Linked DNA regions of Cricetulus griseus. The protein of the gene in region 3 interacts with the protein of the main gene of each other region in a pairwise test. Links are inferred from orthologs where the notes say so. Each region holds a gene or a part of one and is shown on either strand. Other genes may lie near its edges. The genes, in order: Nme7, Fabp3 and Shtn1.

Region 1 (6,179 bases), on a different chromosome or scaffold from region 3:
ATAGGACCCATACTTGGGATTGCTATTTGGTTGAAAAAAAACTTAACTTATATGCAGATCGTGTGTGTGTGTGTGTGTGTGTGTGTGTGTGTGTGTGTGTGTGTGTGTGTGTGTGTGTGTTTTAATTTGTACGTTGTTTTATTAACATATACTAAAGTAACTATTTTAAGAAATCTTAACTATTGTTATTTTGCTTATTTTATAGGAAAGAAGCAACAGACTTTCTTGTAGACCACCACTCAAAGCCTTTTTATAAGTAGGTGCTTACATGGGGACTAAAATTGTTTTTTCTATACTTTTGTTAGAAAGACTTCTTATATCCACCACTAAATACTTGAAACTTAATCAGAAACAAATAGATCGCTTAGTTAAATTTTAAGAAGCATCCTTTTATGTTTCATTGAATTGAAAATGTGATATATATATCTAGATATATATAGACATATATAGACATATATATAGACATATATATAGATATAGACATATAGATAGATAGATAGATAGATAGATAGATAGATAGATAGATCTATCTATATATAGTTTTTGTATTTTGAGACAGAGTTTCTCTGTGTAACTGTCATAGCTCTCCTAGAACTAGCTCTGTAGACCAGGCTGGCCTTGAACTCACAGAGATCCTCCTGCCTCTGCCTCCCAAGTGCTGGGATTAAAAGCATGCACCACCACTGCCTGGCTTATAATTATATTTTATTCTGAGAATTTTGTTGTGCTTTTAAGGTCTTTATTTTGGTATCTTGTATGTACAAAACAAGTCACAGAACTAAATAATTTGACACATATTTTGTTCTTTTGGAAATAAATGGCTAATAGCTAATAATGTTTGTTAGAAACTGAATTGATTATAAAAATTTTGGATGTAATTAAAATGAATAATGTGCATAGCTATTGACAAGCAAATATCTGTATTTCTTTTTTTAAACTTTTTTTATTAATTTGCTTTCTACATCGCAATCCCAGTTTCCCCTCCCTCCTCTCCTCCTGCTCTCCCCACCTAACCCCTCTATATTTCTAATAAAGACAAATGAAATTTATCCAATCTGCTGCAGTAGGCGTTTTATTTGATAATCTACATAGAATAAATTTTTAAAAAAAAAAAGATTTTATTATGTGTACAGTCTTGTTCCTGCATGCCAGCAAAGGGCACCAGATCTCATTCACGGTGGTTGTGAGCCATCATGTGGTTACCAGGAATTGAACTCAGGACCTCTGGAAGGGCAGTCAGAGCTCTTAACCGCTGAGCCATCTCTCCAGCCCATAGAATAACTTTATATAAAAAAAAAGAACTCTATTTCATAAAATTACTATATTATAGCTTAATCAGATATTATAAAATATTCCTAAACTTTGTTAGAATTATCATATACATTTTTTGGCAATTATTCTTTGTTTTAGGTTCTTTGTCTTTATAACCCTGAATCATAACTCCTAGCTTAATATCTTACATGCTGTTCATATGCAGAAAGTTTGAATAACTGAATGAATGAACTGGTAGTCTGACATTGGGAAGACAATCAGAGCCCAGCTGAAGTAACTGAAGTCAGCTCAGGATCCATGTCCTCGCAGTAGCCCCACCCCTCAATTGTTATATGCCACACTCATTATAAAATTCTCAGGGTTGGATCCTATTTTATGGCTATATATATATATATATTGCATGATAATTAAATGCTTATTAAGTAGGTAACTGTTCCCTCCCTTCCTCCCTCTCTCCCTTCGTACTTCCTTTCTGTATTTGGTTTTGGCTGCTAAGATGTAGCAGTATGTTTAAGAATTCTGTGTCCTCGGGGCTGGAGAGATGGCTCAGTGGTTAAGAACACTGCCTGCTCTTCCAAAGGTCCTGAGTTCAATTCCCAGCAGGTGGCTCACAACCATCTGTAATGAGATCTGGTGCCCTCTTCTGGTGTGCAGAGACATACATGGAAGCAGAATGTTGTATACATAATAAAAAAAATAAATTAAAAAAAAAGAATATCGTGTCCTCTTAACATAGTGTGTATAGATACTTCCTTCTAGTTGTTACTTCTTGGAAATGTTTTTCTAAAGTGAAAAGGGTTGATTAATGAAGGGGTGGGAAGGGAGTGTATAAAGCAGTCAGGGTCATAGCCTGTTACGCTGTCTTCCTTTCTCTGAGAAAGTCCTGTCCTTTCTCTATTTTGCCTGGCATGTCACTTATTTCAAGTGAAATTTATCATTGCTGCCTTCTGTACATGAAGAAATGGAAAAATAAAATTAAGTGTCAGTTTTCCTTCCCAGGGAGCTGGTACTAAGACATAAACTTTTAATGAAGTCCTGTGTGTATGGTTGATCATTTAGTGTATCATAACCCAGAGTAGTTTTCTCCTAATAAGAGGCTAGTGTTTGAAGGCCTGGTGCCATTCTTTTTCTTTCTCACATTGGTTTAGAGTTGTCATTCTCTGCATAGAAAATGTTACAAAATGTCATGCTCATTATTTTGTTATTGTAAAATTCTACCTACCACAGTAAACCGTATGTAAATAAGAAGGGAATCACTTTTGTCCTTAGAATAATAGGAAAAGCTTAGATCAACAATATGCACTTCAAGTTAGTGAAATGCCAGAATTCAACAAGCTTTCCCTTTGCAAACAGTAGTGAACCTGACAAAAGTTCTGTAATGATTTTGTAGCAAACTAGATCCATGTAAAGCTCCAGTCATGAGATGAGGGTTTTGCACTGCCCATATTCACTTCACTGTGCCCAGAAACTCTAGTCCCTGAAATTACTAATGTTCAACCGTATCTTCATTGTTAAGGCAGGTGTCTAGATTGACAGAGTAGAGAAGTAATTCAGACTTTTCCCTGTTTCCTAGCGAAGTGATCCAGTTTATTACAAGTGGGCCTGTTATTGCCATGGAGATTTTAAAAGATGATGCGATCTGTGAGTGGAAAAGATTGCTTGGACCCGCAAACTCTAACCTAGCTCATACAGATGCCCCCGGAAGCATCAGAGCCGTCTTTGGGACAGATAGCATAAGAAACGCGGCTCATGGCCCTGATTCTTTTGCATCTGCTGCCAGAGTAAGTTGTTTTGAGAAATATTTTTCTCCTGTTTTGTTTGGAAAATTGTTTTATGTCAGAATAAAATATTTCTCCCACTGAGGACTTTGGGAAAATTTAAAAAGCTGATGTAGTAGTGGCAAACAACTTTTGACATTTTCCTAGGATCAAGTATCGGTTCAAAGCCTCATCTCCTTTTTAAATTAGTTGTGTTGGTCACAGTGGAGTGCAGTTTTCTCCAAGTCTGCCGTTTGTTGCCACGCTTCTTTCTGTAAAGGCATAAATGCTGAGTCTCATGTTTGTGACTGAATTCAATTAGGAATCCTAGTTTACTGATATGTAGTAGATATTCCTAAAGAACCTTCATTGGAGTAGTCTGTAATTTAGATCATGCACTGTTATTAGCTAAGTAGGAGTCTAGGAGAAACACTAGAAATACATGGAACGTATGTGTGAAGATGCAAGAAGTCTCGGGACAGCAGGATGGCTTAGTGGGTAAAGGTGCTTGTATCAACACCTGGTACCCTGAGTTTGTTAACTGGGACCCCTGTGGTGGAAGGTGAGAATTCTGTAAGTTGTTCTCTGGCCTCTGGCCATGCATGTACAAATAGACAGCCAGACAGATTGATAAAAAATTTCAAAGCAAAAAAGTTTCTTTCTTTAAAAGAAAGAATGAAATCTAGGTCTTAACAACAACAACAAAATAATAGTGAGAATTATCCTGTGAGCGGCTTCAATAGAAGATTGAATTTGAGTGTTTGTAACAGCTTATTTGTAATAGCCCAAACTAGAGATATCACAAATGTCCAGTAGATGAACAAAATGAACAAGCCATGCTGTAGTCACACATGGCATATTATTGTAAAAAGGAAGGAAGGATTGATTACAGGGAGTGAATCTCAAAATATTTTTTGAGTGAAAGAAGATAGAAAAAATAATGGATGAATTTATATAAAATTATAAAGATCGGCTTATAGTGACAAAAAGCAGGTTAATAGTCAATAGTAATAGTTAATTACTATTAGTAATAAAAGTTAATTATTCTTTTATAATGTCCTGCCAACAGACTCACTGAAATATACAGTATTTGAGTAAGTTCTCCTCCTCCCTCTTGCTTCTGGTTTAAAGAAATATTTGCACATCAGAATAGAAGGGAGGCCGTTAGAGAAGAGGGCGGAGAAGATAAAAGAGTAAGGAGTTAATAAGGAACTAGAAAGCATCACAGGGTGTGTTGGACCTCTATGAAAATATCCCATGAAGCCTATTATTCTATATAATTTAATGTACACTATAGAGTATGAAAGTTCATTAGTATAGCTTTGATTTATTTTATTGTAAATTTGAGTCAGGGTCTCACCATGTAGCCATATTGACCTGGAACTCACTGTATAGGCCCGGCGGACTTGTACTAGCAGTGAGCCTCCTGCCTCTGCTTCCCAAACGGTAGACTTGCTCTTTCAATTATAAATTCAGGGAAAAGAAAATACTAACTCTGAGGCAGGTTTTGTTTTAGGTGTTTTGGAAGCTACTAAGCTCTGCAAGTTGGTTCTTTTCTTCAAATTTATAATTTGGTTGCTGACAAGTCACAGCTGTGATGAATGCATGGCGCTGATTGGGAGCGTGGAAAATCTTTCTAGAGGATAGTTAGATAGTTCTGTGCTCACTGGCAGATGTTTTGGAGCATGGAACAGAGATTTTTATGGAGAATATAGTGGAAAGAATAGTGCTGAAAGCTCAGGGACAGCATTTAAGTAACTAAAAGAATTGATTAGTATGAACATCTTTGGTTCATTCAGATTGCTAGCTAACTTCTTGATTTAATGAGCTGTAGGCAAAGCAATAGCCACTGTGTGAATCAGGCCAAAATACGTTGCTCATTTTGATTTATAATAGAACTATTGTTAATTAGCTGTGGTTCTCAGACTCCTAAACATTAATTTTTCTGTTTTTATAAGGATGTCCTTGTTTTAACTTTTTATATTTTATTTTTTAAGTTTAAAATTAATCTGTATTTATGAACTATACTTTTGGGAAAGTAAGAACTATATATTTTTCCCAGTTCTCAGAATTTGTTGAAACCTGTCAGTTATAATAGAGGTCACACAATGATGTCTTCACATTGCTACAATACTCTGCATGTTCTGATTGTTAAGTGCTGAAATGGAGCTAAGTTACTCAGTCTGCAAATTCACATTTAGAAAATCAGAAGCATAGAATTTATATCATGAAACTTTAAAAGTAATTGTATATCTTCGGAAATATTCTGGAAGTTTCAGATAAGAGATCATCTTTTCTCATCTTTCTGTATCTACAGGAAATGGAATTATTTTTTCCTTCAAGTGGAGGCTGTGGACCAGCAAACACTGCTAAATTTACCAACTGTACCTGTTGCATTGTGAAGCCCCATGCCATCAGTGAAGGTAAGTGCCATGTTGTAGATGCTTTATTAATTAGAACAGCTTATTTTGTTAATGTTTGTTTTCTTGCTGTGTTTGCATGATGAAATTAAGTACATGTTAATATTTCAGATTCTTTTCTTTGAAAGTCCATGAATCAAGGCAACATTTAAAGATAAATGTGTCTAGATTTCTGTCTTCATTTTGGAATTTGTGCATTCTTAGTAACTGCTCCTTTGGCTGTTGATCATGGCCAAACTCATCCATGTTTTGAACAGATCTTGCTTCCTTGCCGTCTAACCTTCCTTCTGTCTTTCCAACTATATAATGGGTTCCCTCTCTTCACTTAAATAGCACTCCAAGTGCATATATGAAGCGTGGTTTATAGGGCTGGAGAAATGGCTCAGTGGTTAAGTGCAATTGTTGTTCTTGCAAAGGACCAGGTTCAGTTCCCAGCACCCACATGGTGGCTCACAATCATCCACAACTCCTGTTCTAGGGGATCTGATGCTCCCTTCTGACCTTGAGGACACCAGACATGTGTGTGTTGCACATACCTACATGCAGGCAAAACTCATACACATGAAATGAATATTAAAAAATTAAAGTCTTTATTACACCCAGAGCACATGTTTCCTGAAAAAGTTGAGGATGTTCCCTTCAGTTCTCTATATCTGAAACAGTTCTTTAATGGACATGAATATCCATATTTACATGTGTCTGTGTCACACACACACACACACACACACAC
Region 2 (6,279 bases), on a different chromosome or scaffold from region 3:
TCTTCTGGCCTGGGATTAAAAGGATTAAAGGTTATGTTAGTGGTGGTGCTCACTTTATTTTTGAGACAGGGTTTCTCACTGAACCTGGGAGCTCACCTTTTCTGCTATACTGACTCACCAGCAAGCCCTCCATGATCCACCTGTCTTTATGCCTCTCCTGGAGATTATGGGGTTGCTGATATGAGCAATCATGCCCAGGTCTTATGTGGGCGCTGAAGTCCCCATGCTTGCACAGCAAACACCTTACCCATTGAGACATCTTACTTCCCTAGCCTTTCAGGGACCTTTCTTTCTTTGTTTCTTTGTTTCTTTCTTTGTCTACAGAATGAATTCCAGGACAACCAGAGCTACACAGTAGAGCCTGTCTCAAACAAAAGAAAGAAGGAAAGGAAGAAAGAAAGAAAGGAAGGAGGAAAGAAAGAAAGAAAGAAAGAAAGAAAGAAAGAAAGAAAGAAAAAGAAAGGAAAGCCGGGGCTCAGGTGTGGTTGTGCGTGCCTTTGATTCCAGCACTCAGGAGGCAGAGGCAAATCGACCTCTGGGTTTGAGGCCACCCTGGTCCACATAGTGAGTTCTGGGACAACCAAGGCAATATAGACAGAGACTCTGTCATAAACAAACAAACAAACAAAAACAGAGTTTTAAATATATTTTCTTTCATGATCTCCAAACATCACCCATTTCAAAGTTGAACTGATTCAGAGTGGCTTAAGTGAATTGCTCAAGGCCGAACCATACAGCTATTATCAATGGAGATCAGGACTGCTTCCTGGCAGCAGCTGTCAGCCAGCCCCAGCTGTCAGCCAGCCCAGCTCTCCAGCACAGCATTGCAGAGTGCTCTGGTCCCTGGGTCTCCAGCTTCTCAGTCCTTGAGAGAAGAGGTTCCTTCTCTAAAGCCTGTGACCTTGAATGGAAGCTATCCCATATCTCCCCCCACCCCCACCCCTTGGCACTTGCTGTAGTGCTGAGGTCACCAGGGCTCCAGGCCCAGCCCTGAGGCCTGCCCTATAGGCAGAATAGGGCCTTTCAGTCTTCTGACAACTGAATTCTCCAAAGGAATCAAGACCTGAGGGTAGGTAGGGGTGAGAGGACTCTTCCTCTTTAGCCTCTTTCCTAGAACAGCCGGGGTGGGGGTAGGGGGGGTGGGGAGGTGAGGGGGTGGGGTGGGGGAGTGGCCGGTGGAAGAGGCCTAAGAAGGAGGCTTTGTCACATTGCAGGTGTACTGGTCAGGTCCCAGGGCTCTGATAATGGCTCCTGAATGACTACCCTGGGCCCCCTTCTAAGAAGTTGAAGTTCCGTACACACCACTTTCTCCTGTATAGGGCCTTGCACACTTAGAAGTTCATTCATGCTCCTCTTCCCCTGAGTCCCGAAGTCAGGGTAGGTCCCTCCTATAGTCATGAGTTGCATGATTCTCCCAGAAGAGAATACTTTCAGCCTGTACCTTCTTCCCTGTGGTCTTTTCCAAAACAGGGCCAGCACAAATCAGGAACTTATTTTGAGACAGGATCCTGCCCTATGTAGCTCAGGCTGGCCTCCAACTCAGGATCCTCTAGCCTTCAGGTGCCTGAATAACTGTTGAATCAAGCCAGGCCAGCTGCACATGGCAGTAATCTCAGGAGACGGAGGGGAATCTTTAGTTCAAGGTCAATGTAGGCTGCACATTGAGATGTTTATTTGGTAATTATTAAACAGAAACCCGCTGAACTAAGCAATGGGCTCCACTGAGTTTCCTTTCCTCACGGGTAAAAAGGGGGTAGCACCTGCTAACAATGGAGACGTTCAGTGTGACCATGTCCCGAAGCAGCGGGCTACAATCATCACTAAAGTGGGTCTCATTTAATGAAGAGCTTTAATATGACAAGCAGGCTAGTGGAGAAATCAGGGGAAGCCCTGACGGCAGCAGAGGGCTGCAGCTTTCTGGCAGTTAAGGTGGCCACCGCCGGAAGAGCCGCCTGAATAGACAGAATTTCTGAAGGAGCTAAGCGCAGAACGACCCCAGTGCAAGCTCAGAGGTCAGAAAAGGCTGGGGCGTTCTCAGGGAGCGGTGGGGAGCAGGACCGCGGGGGCGCCGGCAGGGGACATTCCGCAGGGAGGGGCAAGCACGTGGGGGGCTAACGGAGGGACCAAGGTCACGTTCGTCCAGTGCAGGTGAGGCACTAGGCAGCCCAGCCACCGACGGTGTCCAGGGCGACTCCTCTCCACTGGGCGGGCGGGGAGCAGGCGGGCCTAGGGGCCGCGCTTGCTGTCTGGGCTCCAGTTCGCTTCTACTTATGGTGATCGCGTCGTTACCCTCTGAGCCTCCGCGCCGCTCCGACAGGAAGATGACCTAGGGCTGGTGAAATAGGTCAGCAGGTAGAAACATTCGCTGACAAGCCTGGCGACCTCAGTTCGGTGCCAGGACCCACACCGTGGAAGGAGAGCCGTGACTCCCCGAGTTACAGCGTTCCCCCTCCCTCAATGCACGCGCCTTCGTACGCCCTCACACCATAAGTGTAAAACAACAATCGGGGAAAAACAAAAGAGTGGCACGTGGTGCAGACGGCGGCGTTTCCCCAGCGTCGCACCAGCCTAAGAGCGAGTTTCCTTTCTGCGTGGCTGGGGGTGGTGGGTGCTCTTCTTGGGCTGCGGGGAGCGCCGCGCAGCCAGGGTGGGCACGGGTTCGGCGGCACCCGCAGGACCGCGGACGGCGCGGACGCAGGGGCCTGGCGGTTTGCGGGGGCGGGAAGGGCCGCAGCTCCTAGCGGGAGTGCAAGCCCCGGCTTCCTATTTCGGGAGCAAGGGGTGTGGGCCGCCCTCATCATGTGATGCGAGGGCTATTTAAAGAGGCTCTCGGGCCGGGAGCCGCGGTTCTCAGTTCCTGCACGCCTCGCCTCTCGCCACACCATGGCGGACGCCTTTGTCGGCACCTGGAAGCTAGTGGACAGCAAGAATTTTGATGACTACATGAAGTCACTCGGTGAGTGAACCGCGAGCGCGGAATCCCGGCCCTGGAGGGCCCGCGAGCCCGTCCTGGCGCTGCGTTCCCGCTGGAGTGCCCCGAGCGCCTCCTGCACGCTCCCTGCCAGTCCAGGCTGCAAAGACCCGCGCGCCGGCGTGGCGTGGGCTGCAGCATCCCGGTCTCCTGGGAGGGGGCTGTCGTGGTCCGGACCTGGGGAGTTAGGTAGCTAGGGAGAAGGCGCTCAGGGGAAGCAGGCTGTGGTTGCAGAGGTCCGGGCTGGGTGGCACCCACTTTCTAGGAAGCGAGGTATGTGATCGGAGGGGAGAGATGGGAGTTGAGGGAACGAGTGGAAGGCGGGAGGCTGGCTGCAGCAGAAAGCAAACGGGAGCATGGGTGGTCTAGAAACCGAGTCCGGAAAGGGAATAGAGCAGATGTGAATGCACTGTAGGAGGAAATACTTGAGCAAGACTGAGGAAAATCAGTGAGCTCGATCTGGGAAGAGGTGAAAACAGACCTGGGCAGTCAGCCATGCATAGTCCCTTCCCCTCCATGATGGATAGTGAAGGTGCCCTGGTTCTCCCCAGTGTGTTCACCTGCAATGTGCGCAAACCTCCCCCAATCAGTTTCTGAGACGCTGCTGGTAGAGTAGGGCAAGACCACCACCACACGCGGGCTTTCCTACCGCACCAGTCTCCCACCTGTTCAGTGCCAGGGATAGGGTGAAGAAAGCTGTTCTCTGGGATACAGCAGAGGGTGCCAGAAGCAAGGTCATGCACGGGCTGTGGAGGGGGAGTGCGGTTTGGGGATCAGGAAGAGCAAAGCTCCCTAGAACCTCACTGGTAAGATCTGTGAAAATGGAGCTCCAGGCCTTGCTTGGCTAGAAAAACAACAGCCCAGTGAGAGCAAGCTAATCATCTGATAGGAAAGCCCAGGATTTCTTTTTTCTTTTTGGTTTTTCGAGACAGGATTTCTCTGTATTGCTTTGGAGGCTGTACTGGCACTCGCTCTGGAGACCAGGCTGGCCTTGAACTCACAGAGATCCGCCTGCCTCTGCCTCCCGAGTGCTGGGGTTAAAGACTTGCGACACCAACGCCCGCCCGGCACAAGCCCAGGATTTCTTCAGGATTTCTTTTCGTCACTACTGACGACTGAACTTAGAGTCTTATGCATGCCAGGCAGGCACTGGAACACTGAGTCACACCCCCCTCCCCTTTTACTTTGTGTGACAGGGTCTCTCTAACTTACCCAGGTTGGCCTGGAACTTGTAACCTGCTATCCCAGCCTTCTCAGTAGTTGAAAACCCAGAACCACCTAGAGTTCTTCCTACTTCAGCATAGCCAGGGAGTGGGAGACCACCTTTGGGTGCATGGGGAATGTGGTATGACCCACTCCTCCAGGACTGACCCTAGCCGTTCCTTTCTTGCCTTGGTGTAGGTAAAAGCCCTTCCTGTGAAGTGTTTGGCTATATCATCCATGTCAACTAGGATGGGACCCGAAAACTGGGCTGTGTCATGGCTGAGCTAGATTTCGTTCCTTCTTCCGAGGAAGGAGGGCTGGCTTATGACATGTTGAGGGTATATATGCAGGTTCCTCACCTACTTCAGGATGTTAGCTGAAACGGGTCCACAAGGCATTTTTGTCATTTTGGTTTTGGGATTGGAACCCAAGGTCTTGCACATGCTAAGCAAACACCATGACTCTGAGCTTCCACCGAAGCCCGAACTCCCATCAGCACCTACGCTCTCTAGGACAGAAGCTGGGCTTCATTTTTGTTTTGAGACAGGGTCTCACTCTGTAGCCCTAGCCGTCCTGGAGCTCCTTATGTAGACCAGGTCCTTTTGCCTCCCCAGCACTGGGGTTAGAGGCATGCAAGTTGGCCGTTCTTGACAGGGTAGGGAGTACTAAATTGCCCAGGTTTAGTTCCACCTTCCCAAGCCAAATTGCTAACAGCTGGTTTGCTGCTGAGGCCTAACTCACTCAGATACCAGTAGGCAAAGCCTTATCGTACAGAACCAAAGCAGCCCAGCCTAGTATTTGACTGCAGGTACAGATGGTGGCTTTAAGATACTATGGGAATCTATGTCACTAAACGCTGATAATTTTTTCTTTCCTCTGGAAACAGAGTCTTACTGTAGCTCACGTTTTAGAGAGGTACAGCCCAAGGTGGCCTTTAATTCTTGGCATTTCTCCTTGCTTCGGCCTCCTGAGTGAGATTATAAGCAGGTGTCACTAGGCTCAACTTGTTTGACTTTGGATAAGACAGCACAACTCTCTTGGCCTCATTTGTAAATTGCGAGTAATAAAAGCTATGCTTAGGGCTGTTTCAAGCAGTACTTGGCTACCCATGCAGAGTTTGTGCAGTGTACATAGCAAATACACAGGGCCAGGTGAATATTTGGAGGTCCCATGCCGTATCCCTATGTTGGGCTGCCTCCTGCCTCATTGCTGAGGACAGCTCAGCATGTGCTGGGGCCAGGGGACAGGTACTCAACAATGGAAGATTCAAGGGAGCTGCAACCCACGGAGGTGAAGGCTGGGCCTACCGGGTCTGTGTACTTCACCTGCTGTGGACACCTGGGACCTTGCCTAGGACTCAGATCCCATGATTATGTCAGGAGTCTTCTCCCCAGGGACTTCAACTCAATCCCTAAGTTTGTAGGAGACAAAACTCTCCATTGTACTTTTTTTAGCCAGGAGGCCTTGAAGCTACAGCGTTGCTACACAGAGGGTGGAGCACTGATGCCCCCAGTTTCACGATGAAAAATAGACATCCTTGTCCAGAGGACTCTGAAGGCTGTTGGCTTTCTTCTTTCTTCAGTCTTTCGGTCTGAGTGTTCAGGAAGCCAGAAGCAGCAGGGGCTCTTCTCTGGAGGTGACACAGGGCTCAGCAGCTTCAATCTGATTGGTGACCCTGGCCTTAAACTCCATTGCGGTGGTTACATCTACAAACCCTTGTAGGAACAGGACTGAGCCAGGGCCATATAGGTGGTTTGTACCTCTTGGTACCTCACTCTGATTTCCAGTGTTGCTGACATGCCTCGTGTTTCACATCAGCCTAACCGCTGCAGAGCTAAGGAAAAGACTGACTGACTGAGAAAATGGCCACACAAATTCACTGGCCACTATGGTCCTCCTTCCCCATGGTTGTATAATACCTCTTTACCCCAACTAATTTTCAGCCATCTGCCCCTGCCCTTAGGTGTGGGCTTTGCTACCAGACAGGTGGCTAGCATGACCAAGCCCACCACAATCATCGAGAAGAACGGCGATACTATAGTCATAAAGACACACAGCACCTTCAAGAACACAGAGATCAGCTTCCAGCTGGGAGTGCAGTTCGA
Region 3 (6,179 bases):
CTGGAAAATGTTAAAGAAAGTCACGCATCACGAAACTCCACTTAAACAAATCATATATACATCATAAAGCCATGTATTTATATAGCCTTTCAAGCTGCCCAAAAATATACACCTTGGATTCTCAGGTAATCTTAATTTTCTTTTACTGCTTTTACATTTAAAAAAAAAAATGTGTGTTTACTATAAGGAACATACATTATTTTATAAAAGCAAAAGCAAAATATCTGTGTTTTAAAAAGTAATGAGTCTATGAGGGAATTTGTGTTCAAGTAGGAGATACTTTACACCACACAGAGTAGAGAGTGATGGGGAAATATCCTTCTGTATGCTGTGAATATATGTTTCTCTTATTGGTTGATGAATAAAACTGTTTCAGCCGATGGACTGGTGGGATCTAGCCAGGCAGGAAATCCAAACAGGGATAGAGAAAGGTGGTAGGTGGAGTCAGAGAGAAGGCATGCAGCTGCTGAGGAAGCAACAGGCCTGGGTATCACCGGTAAGCCAAGACCATGTAGAGATACACAGATTAATAGAAATGGGTTTACAATTAAGAGAGTGCTAGCCAAAAGAAACCTGAGCCATCTGCCAAACAGTTTATAATTAATATAAGCCTCTGTGTGTTTATTTTGGACTCAACAGCTATGGGAGCAGGCAGGACAGAAACTTTCATCTAAACAGAATAAAATGATTAGGGCAGGACAAAGCCTGTAGAACCAGTAATTGCTGTAGTTTCACCCACAACGACCTCTGCTCCTTTGTCAAACAGGAACACAGAAAACAACTCAGTCCTAAAGTTCAGTTCAATTTGTGAACTCCAGGCTTGTATTATCTACCAACCAAGTTAACAATTATAGTTTGTCTTCTCAGGACCAAAAGATAATATTTGACACAAGCTAAACACACACACACACACACACACACACACACACACACACACACACACACACACACACACACACGACACCACATACCCAGATACCACATTCATAGATACCACATACATACTTACACATACCACACATATTTACATATACAGAGATACCACACACACACACACAGACACATACTTACACATTCCACACATACTTACATATACAGAGACACCACACACACACACACACACTTACATACACATATAGACTACACACACATACACACACAGGGACACCACATACATACTTACACATACACACACACACACAGAGAGACACACACACACACTTACATACACATATAGACTACACACACATACACCACATACATACTTACACATACACACACACACAGACACCATACACATACTTACACACCACACCACACACACACACATACTTATACACAGATCTCTCTCTCTCTCTCTCTCTCTCTCTCTCTCTCTCTCTCTCTCACACACACACACACACACACACACACACACACACACACACACACTCTTACTGAAAAGGTGATTCCTGAATGTGGGAGTAGAAAAAGAAATTTTTCACCTGTAGCCTTGGGGAGCAGGGGTTCTGTGTGCATCTGCCAACACTTCCCACTGAGGAAACAGAACCCAGCTTGACCTTACTGCTAGATGTAAAACAGAGTCAGAAGTAGAGAGGGTCATGCACAAGACACTGACAGGGAAAAGTCAGTTGCCGGTAACAGCCTTTCCCATGAACGAGGTCGCCATGAGGACCCACAAATACTGAAGCCACTGTTCCAAAGTGGCTCCTGTAAGTCTTCTCCCACCTCCTCCCTCTCTTCTGCCCTACAGAGGGACCTGGGCAGCACTGGCCTGAAGTGTTCTACTCCTGAACAAAGCACTACAGATATCTACGCAAGGCTGCATGACCACAAACTGTACCTAAGAAAGCAATTACTAATGACAGGTTTTTCTTTCCCTCCCTCTCAGAATAAGGCCCTATGTCCCCCGAGAAGCTCTGCAAAACCAACACACTCTCCTGAGTGTATCCCGTCTCTGAAAACCACATCTTTCCAAACAGACTTCAAGACTACAAACTGCCCAATACACTCTGAGTCCTATCCTTTCCCTTGCTTCTCCAAACTCATTCTTAATGATCGATTTCCTGATCATTTCAAAGACTCCATGACAGTGTGCTATAAACTGTGGCTGAACAGTACATTAAATTCCCTTGGTAGCTGTTGTTTTCTCAAAGGTATTTAGGACTTAGTCAACAGGCAAAAAGATGGAACTCTAGAAAGCCATACTAGCACCTCCTGTTTTAATGTATGGTTGTAAGCTGATTATACATGTGCGTGAGTCTGTGGTGTGTATGTGCGTATGATGTGTCTGTGTGTGTGCTTATGTGTGTGCGTGTGTGATGTGTCTGTATGCACATGCATGTATGTGTGCACATGGATATTCATGCATGTGACGTGTGTACGTGTGTATGTGATATGCCTATGTGCACACATGCACACATGTGTGACGTGTCTGTGCATCTGTGTATGCGTGTGCACGTGTGCACATATGTGTGCCCACAATTCCAGAGTAAAATCAGTTACCTTTTGCTTATGCTGGATCCTCTCTCCTTCGAGCAGCTGGATGAGTTTTGAGTTCTCGTCTAATGCTTTCAAAAGCTGCTGGTCAGGAAGGGCGCTCTGCAGCAGAAGGTGGCTTTGTCTCTTCAGCTTGTTTTGTTCTATGAACATCTGCAAAAGTTAATTACAAACATGTATGCACCAACCCAGCCCATGCAGACCCCCAGTGCAGCTCAAAGGGCAGTGAGTGCAGTCCTTGAAGACCCCAAAGGAAATGCCTGACGTAGGACTTTGCCAGGGAGCAATTCCCAACTTCACACCATTTCCAATACCTAAATCACCACTCTAAGCACAGAGGGGATACACTAACTGAATTCTACACCTCAGTTTTGAACATTTCTTTACGGCTTTAAAATGCATTGGTAAGTATATGTCAATAATACACCCGTGCCAGGCACTTTCTATGCTTTGTCTCATTCTTACATACATCCTATGAGCTAACTTCCTGCTGGCAACCGTCACTAAGCACCATACCATACAGTGGACATCACTATGTGCAGATATCTTTCAGTACTAAGAACAACACCATCCAATAGAAAACTGCAGCCATTGCATTTCCCTGACAAAGAAGTGGAGGCTCAGAGAGAACAAGTGATTTTCCCAAGGGTACATAGGTATCACGACCAGAACTTAAACTCATTGATTCACCTCCTCTGCTCTTTATTAGACCTATGTGAGTTTCCCCCAGTGAGAGACAGTTCAGCAGGGAGACTGTACTAGCATGTATTGAACGCTTCATCGAGTTGCTTATGAATGCGACTCGGCTAATTCTCCCATGTTGACACGATTGACAGCAGAATTATTTTCTATTTGTCTGTTATTTACTTTCTCTTCACCGTACCAAGATGACTGGTGGGCAATCCCAAGCATTAGCTATTTCACAAACTCTGAAGTCTCTGAACAGCAACACTTTATACCGTCAGGATCTTAACAGCGTCTTGCATTGACACTGTAGCTTAACTCCAAGCTGTGCACAATGAGGTGGTTTACCGCAGAGCACACATACAACTTCATCTGCCGTGTAACACAAAATATTAGGAAATGTAACTCAGGACAAAGATAAATGGAGCATGATAAATAAAAGGCCCAGAGTCAGACATCGGGCTTCAAGCTTCAAGCTGAAGACCAGAAAAGCAAAGCAGCAGCCGCTAGCTTTGCTTCAGCTCGGGCCAAAGGAGCAAAACTCAAACTGCTCCCGACTTCACTGCGACTCAGATTCACTCAGAGAGTTATGCTCTCCGAAACGTGGCTCGAGACTTAACTCTTAGACTGAATGCCAGCTCTGAGACCCTGCGCCTGTCTTATATCCCCCCAATGCTGGAATTAAAGGCGTGTGATCCCAGGTATTGATCACCGTTGTGTGTGCTGTGTCTTTTAGGACTGGATCGATTTTATGTATTCAGTGTGGCCTTGAACTAACAGACACCCATCTACCTCTTAATCCTGAGTCTTGGGATTAAAGGTTTGTGCCACCACTGACTGATCTCTATAGCTTGAGGCTGGCTTTGCTTTCTGAATCCTCAGGCGCGCTTTAATAAATCATAAATAATACATCACCACAGATAAAATTCTTGCAAACTTCCATGTGCAAAGACTGGAACTTCAGTGATCTACACAGTCTGTAAATTAGCCCCAGCCAGTCGAAGTCACCATGAATACACAATACAAATAAACTCATGTTTTCTTCTCAGTGTATCCTCCTATATGGACAAAAAAGTGGCTATCAGGGAGCTGGGGCTGGGGGGGTTGTATGTGACTCAGACTGGGAGTGGCAGCTGTGTAATCGTAAGGTCCCAAGTTTGGGTCCAAAGTATACATGTAAAAGCTGGGTGTGGCCACATGGCCTCACACATCTGTAATGTTGGCTCTGGAGGGAGAAATGGGAGATGGGGAGCTCCTAGAGCTCAGTGGCTGGTCAGTCTAGCCAATCGGTGAATTTCAGGTTCAGTGAGAGGCCCTGTCTCAAAAAGTAAGGTGGAGAGTGAGAAAGATACTGCAAACACGTATTGCTGTACGCAAACGTGCTCCCCCTACACACACACACACACACACACACACACACACACACACACACTGGCCGAGCTTTCATTCTTCTCCTGTGCAGGATTTGTGAAAAGTCTACCAAGCAGGATACTACAAGGTTGTGCAAAATTAAGACACACTATCAGCTCCAACAGGTAGAACACACTATTTTTTAAAGATGTCTTATTATTTATGTGCACACGTGTGTCTCAATGTGTGCCTGTATGTGTGTATGGGGGTACCTGAAGCCCTAAAAGGGTGACAGATTTCCCTGGAGCTCAAGTCACTGGTAGTTGTGAGGCATCTGATGCGGGTGCTGGGAATTGAACTCAACTCCTCTGGAAGAGCTGAAAGAATGAAACATAATTTTTCGTAGTACATGGAACCCACACTTCTTCAGTGTCATCTGTCTGTAAGCATTTATGGGCACAGAGACCCCCCTCCCACACAATGTGCATAAGCCGAGTCATTCTACCCCGAGACTCAGAGTCCAACCAACAGGGGTAATCAATGATTCACTGGTGTCTTAAATTTTTGAGCAGTGTTTAGTTGAAATGAATTATCTTGGTTATCATTATTATTACAATAATTTCAACACATTTTTTCCTCTATTAAAACTTAACCAGACAGGCTCCCTTGCCAGCATCTTAGTGCTTCAAGCACCGTCACTGTAAAGGGTGCTAACCGCAGCTGAAGCAAAGTTCCAAGTTTCTTTTATTGCATGTGTTCCTGGCAAAGAGCTGGTGCAACAGCTATAGCCACAGAGCAGGGAAATCAAGTGGGGTGGCCCACTCCATCCTCTCTCTGGAATTCTCTGGGATTTGCTTCTCTTGAGGAAGAGGAAATTCTGGAAAACATTCTGGAAAATGTGCTCAACACTGCATGAGTACAAAGTACCTCAACTGCAGCACTTTGAAGACAAACAAGCATAAACACTTCATCTGAAAGGTCTTCATCGTGTGACTTTCTTTCTCAGAACCCCCATGACATGTCTGAAACAGTAGCAGCCCAGTTAGTAGAGTGCTTGTCTAGCTTCCCCTCACCCTGGCTGGGTTCAACCAGCAGCATCACAAAAACCTGTGTAATTACATGCCTTCAATCCCAGGACTCGGGAAGACAGAGACAGAAAGAGCGGGAATTCAAGGTTATCTTTGGCTAAACATCGACTCTGAAAACAGTCTGGGCTACAGGGGACTATGCACACAGAGGGATTTGCGGGTGGAGGGAGTAGTCATACTGCCTCCCCCAAACTTCATCAAAATTCTTTAAGTGTGTCCTCTTCTAGAACATTTAGTCACCAAACATAATGAGTTTTGGTTTTGTTGTGACAGGAATGACTCAGAGTCAGAAAGCTGGTCTCTTACTGGAGGAAGAAGACCACAGGTATCGGAATTTCTGAGAAATCCCATACGTCTTTTCAATGAGAGTGAGAATAAAAATCTTAATACAGAATTTAAAGCAATATTCCATTATTGTTCAAATTATCCAGAAGGGAAACTGAGTAGCAAGAAAAATACACTGAAAAATATAAGTAAAATCACATTAAAACTTTAAAATATAGTTGGCAAGATGGCTCTTGCTGCATAAGCCTGAAGACCCGTGCTCTATCCCTGGAA

What was found.
Region 1: the proteins of Shtn1 (region 3) and Nme7 interact in binary tests that used the Homo sapiens proteins (3 or more experiments, as listed by UniProt). The two-hybrid records come from large-scale screens. The link is inferred for Cricetulus griseus from reciprocal best matches to the Homo sapiens genes SHTN1 and NME7.
Region 2: the proteins of Shtn1 (region 3) and Fabp3 interact in binary tests that used the Homo sapiens proteins (3 or more experiments, as listed by UniProt). The two-hybrid records come from large-scale screens. The link is inferred for Cricetulus griseus from reciprocal best matches to the Homo sapiens genes SHTN1 and FABP3.

Annotation. Positions count from the first base shown.
Region 1 is NC_048598.1:27,995,975-28,002,153, reverse strand, and holds part of Nme7 (nucleoside diphosphate kinase 7), read left to right. Parts: intron 1-205; coding exon 206-256; intron 257-2,845; coding exon 2,846-3,053; intron 3,054-5,346; coding exon 5,347-5,452; intron 5,453-6,179. UniProt on the Homo sapiens protein: Possesses an intrinsic kinase activity. Displays 3'-5' exonuclease activity with a preference for single-stranded DNA. Does not seem to have nucleoside diphosphate kinase activity.
Region 2 is NC_048595.1:22,744,407-22,750,685, reverse strand, and holds the start of Fabp3 (fatty acid-binding protein, heart), read left to right. Parts: upstream 1-2,883; coding exon 2,884-2,956; intron 2,957-6,137; coding exon 6,138-6,279. UniProt on the Homo sapiens protein: FABPs are thought to play a role in the intracellular transport of long-chain fatty acids and their acyl-CoA esters.
Region 3 is NC_048596.1:2,328,004-2,334,182, reverse strand, and holds part of Shtn1 (shootin-1), read right to left. Parts: intron 2,653-6,179; coding exon 2,506-2,652; intron 1-2,505. UniProt on the Homo sapiens protein: Involved in the generation of internal asymmetric signals required for neuronal polarization and neurite outgrowth.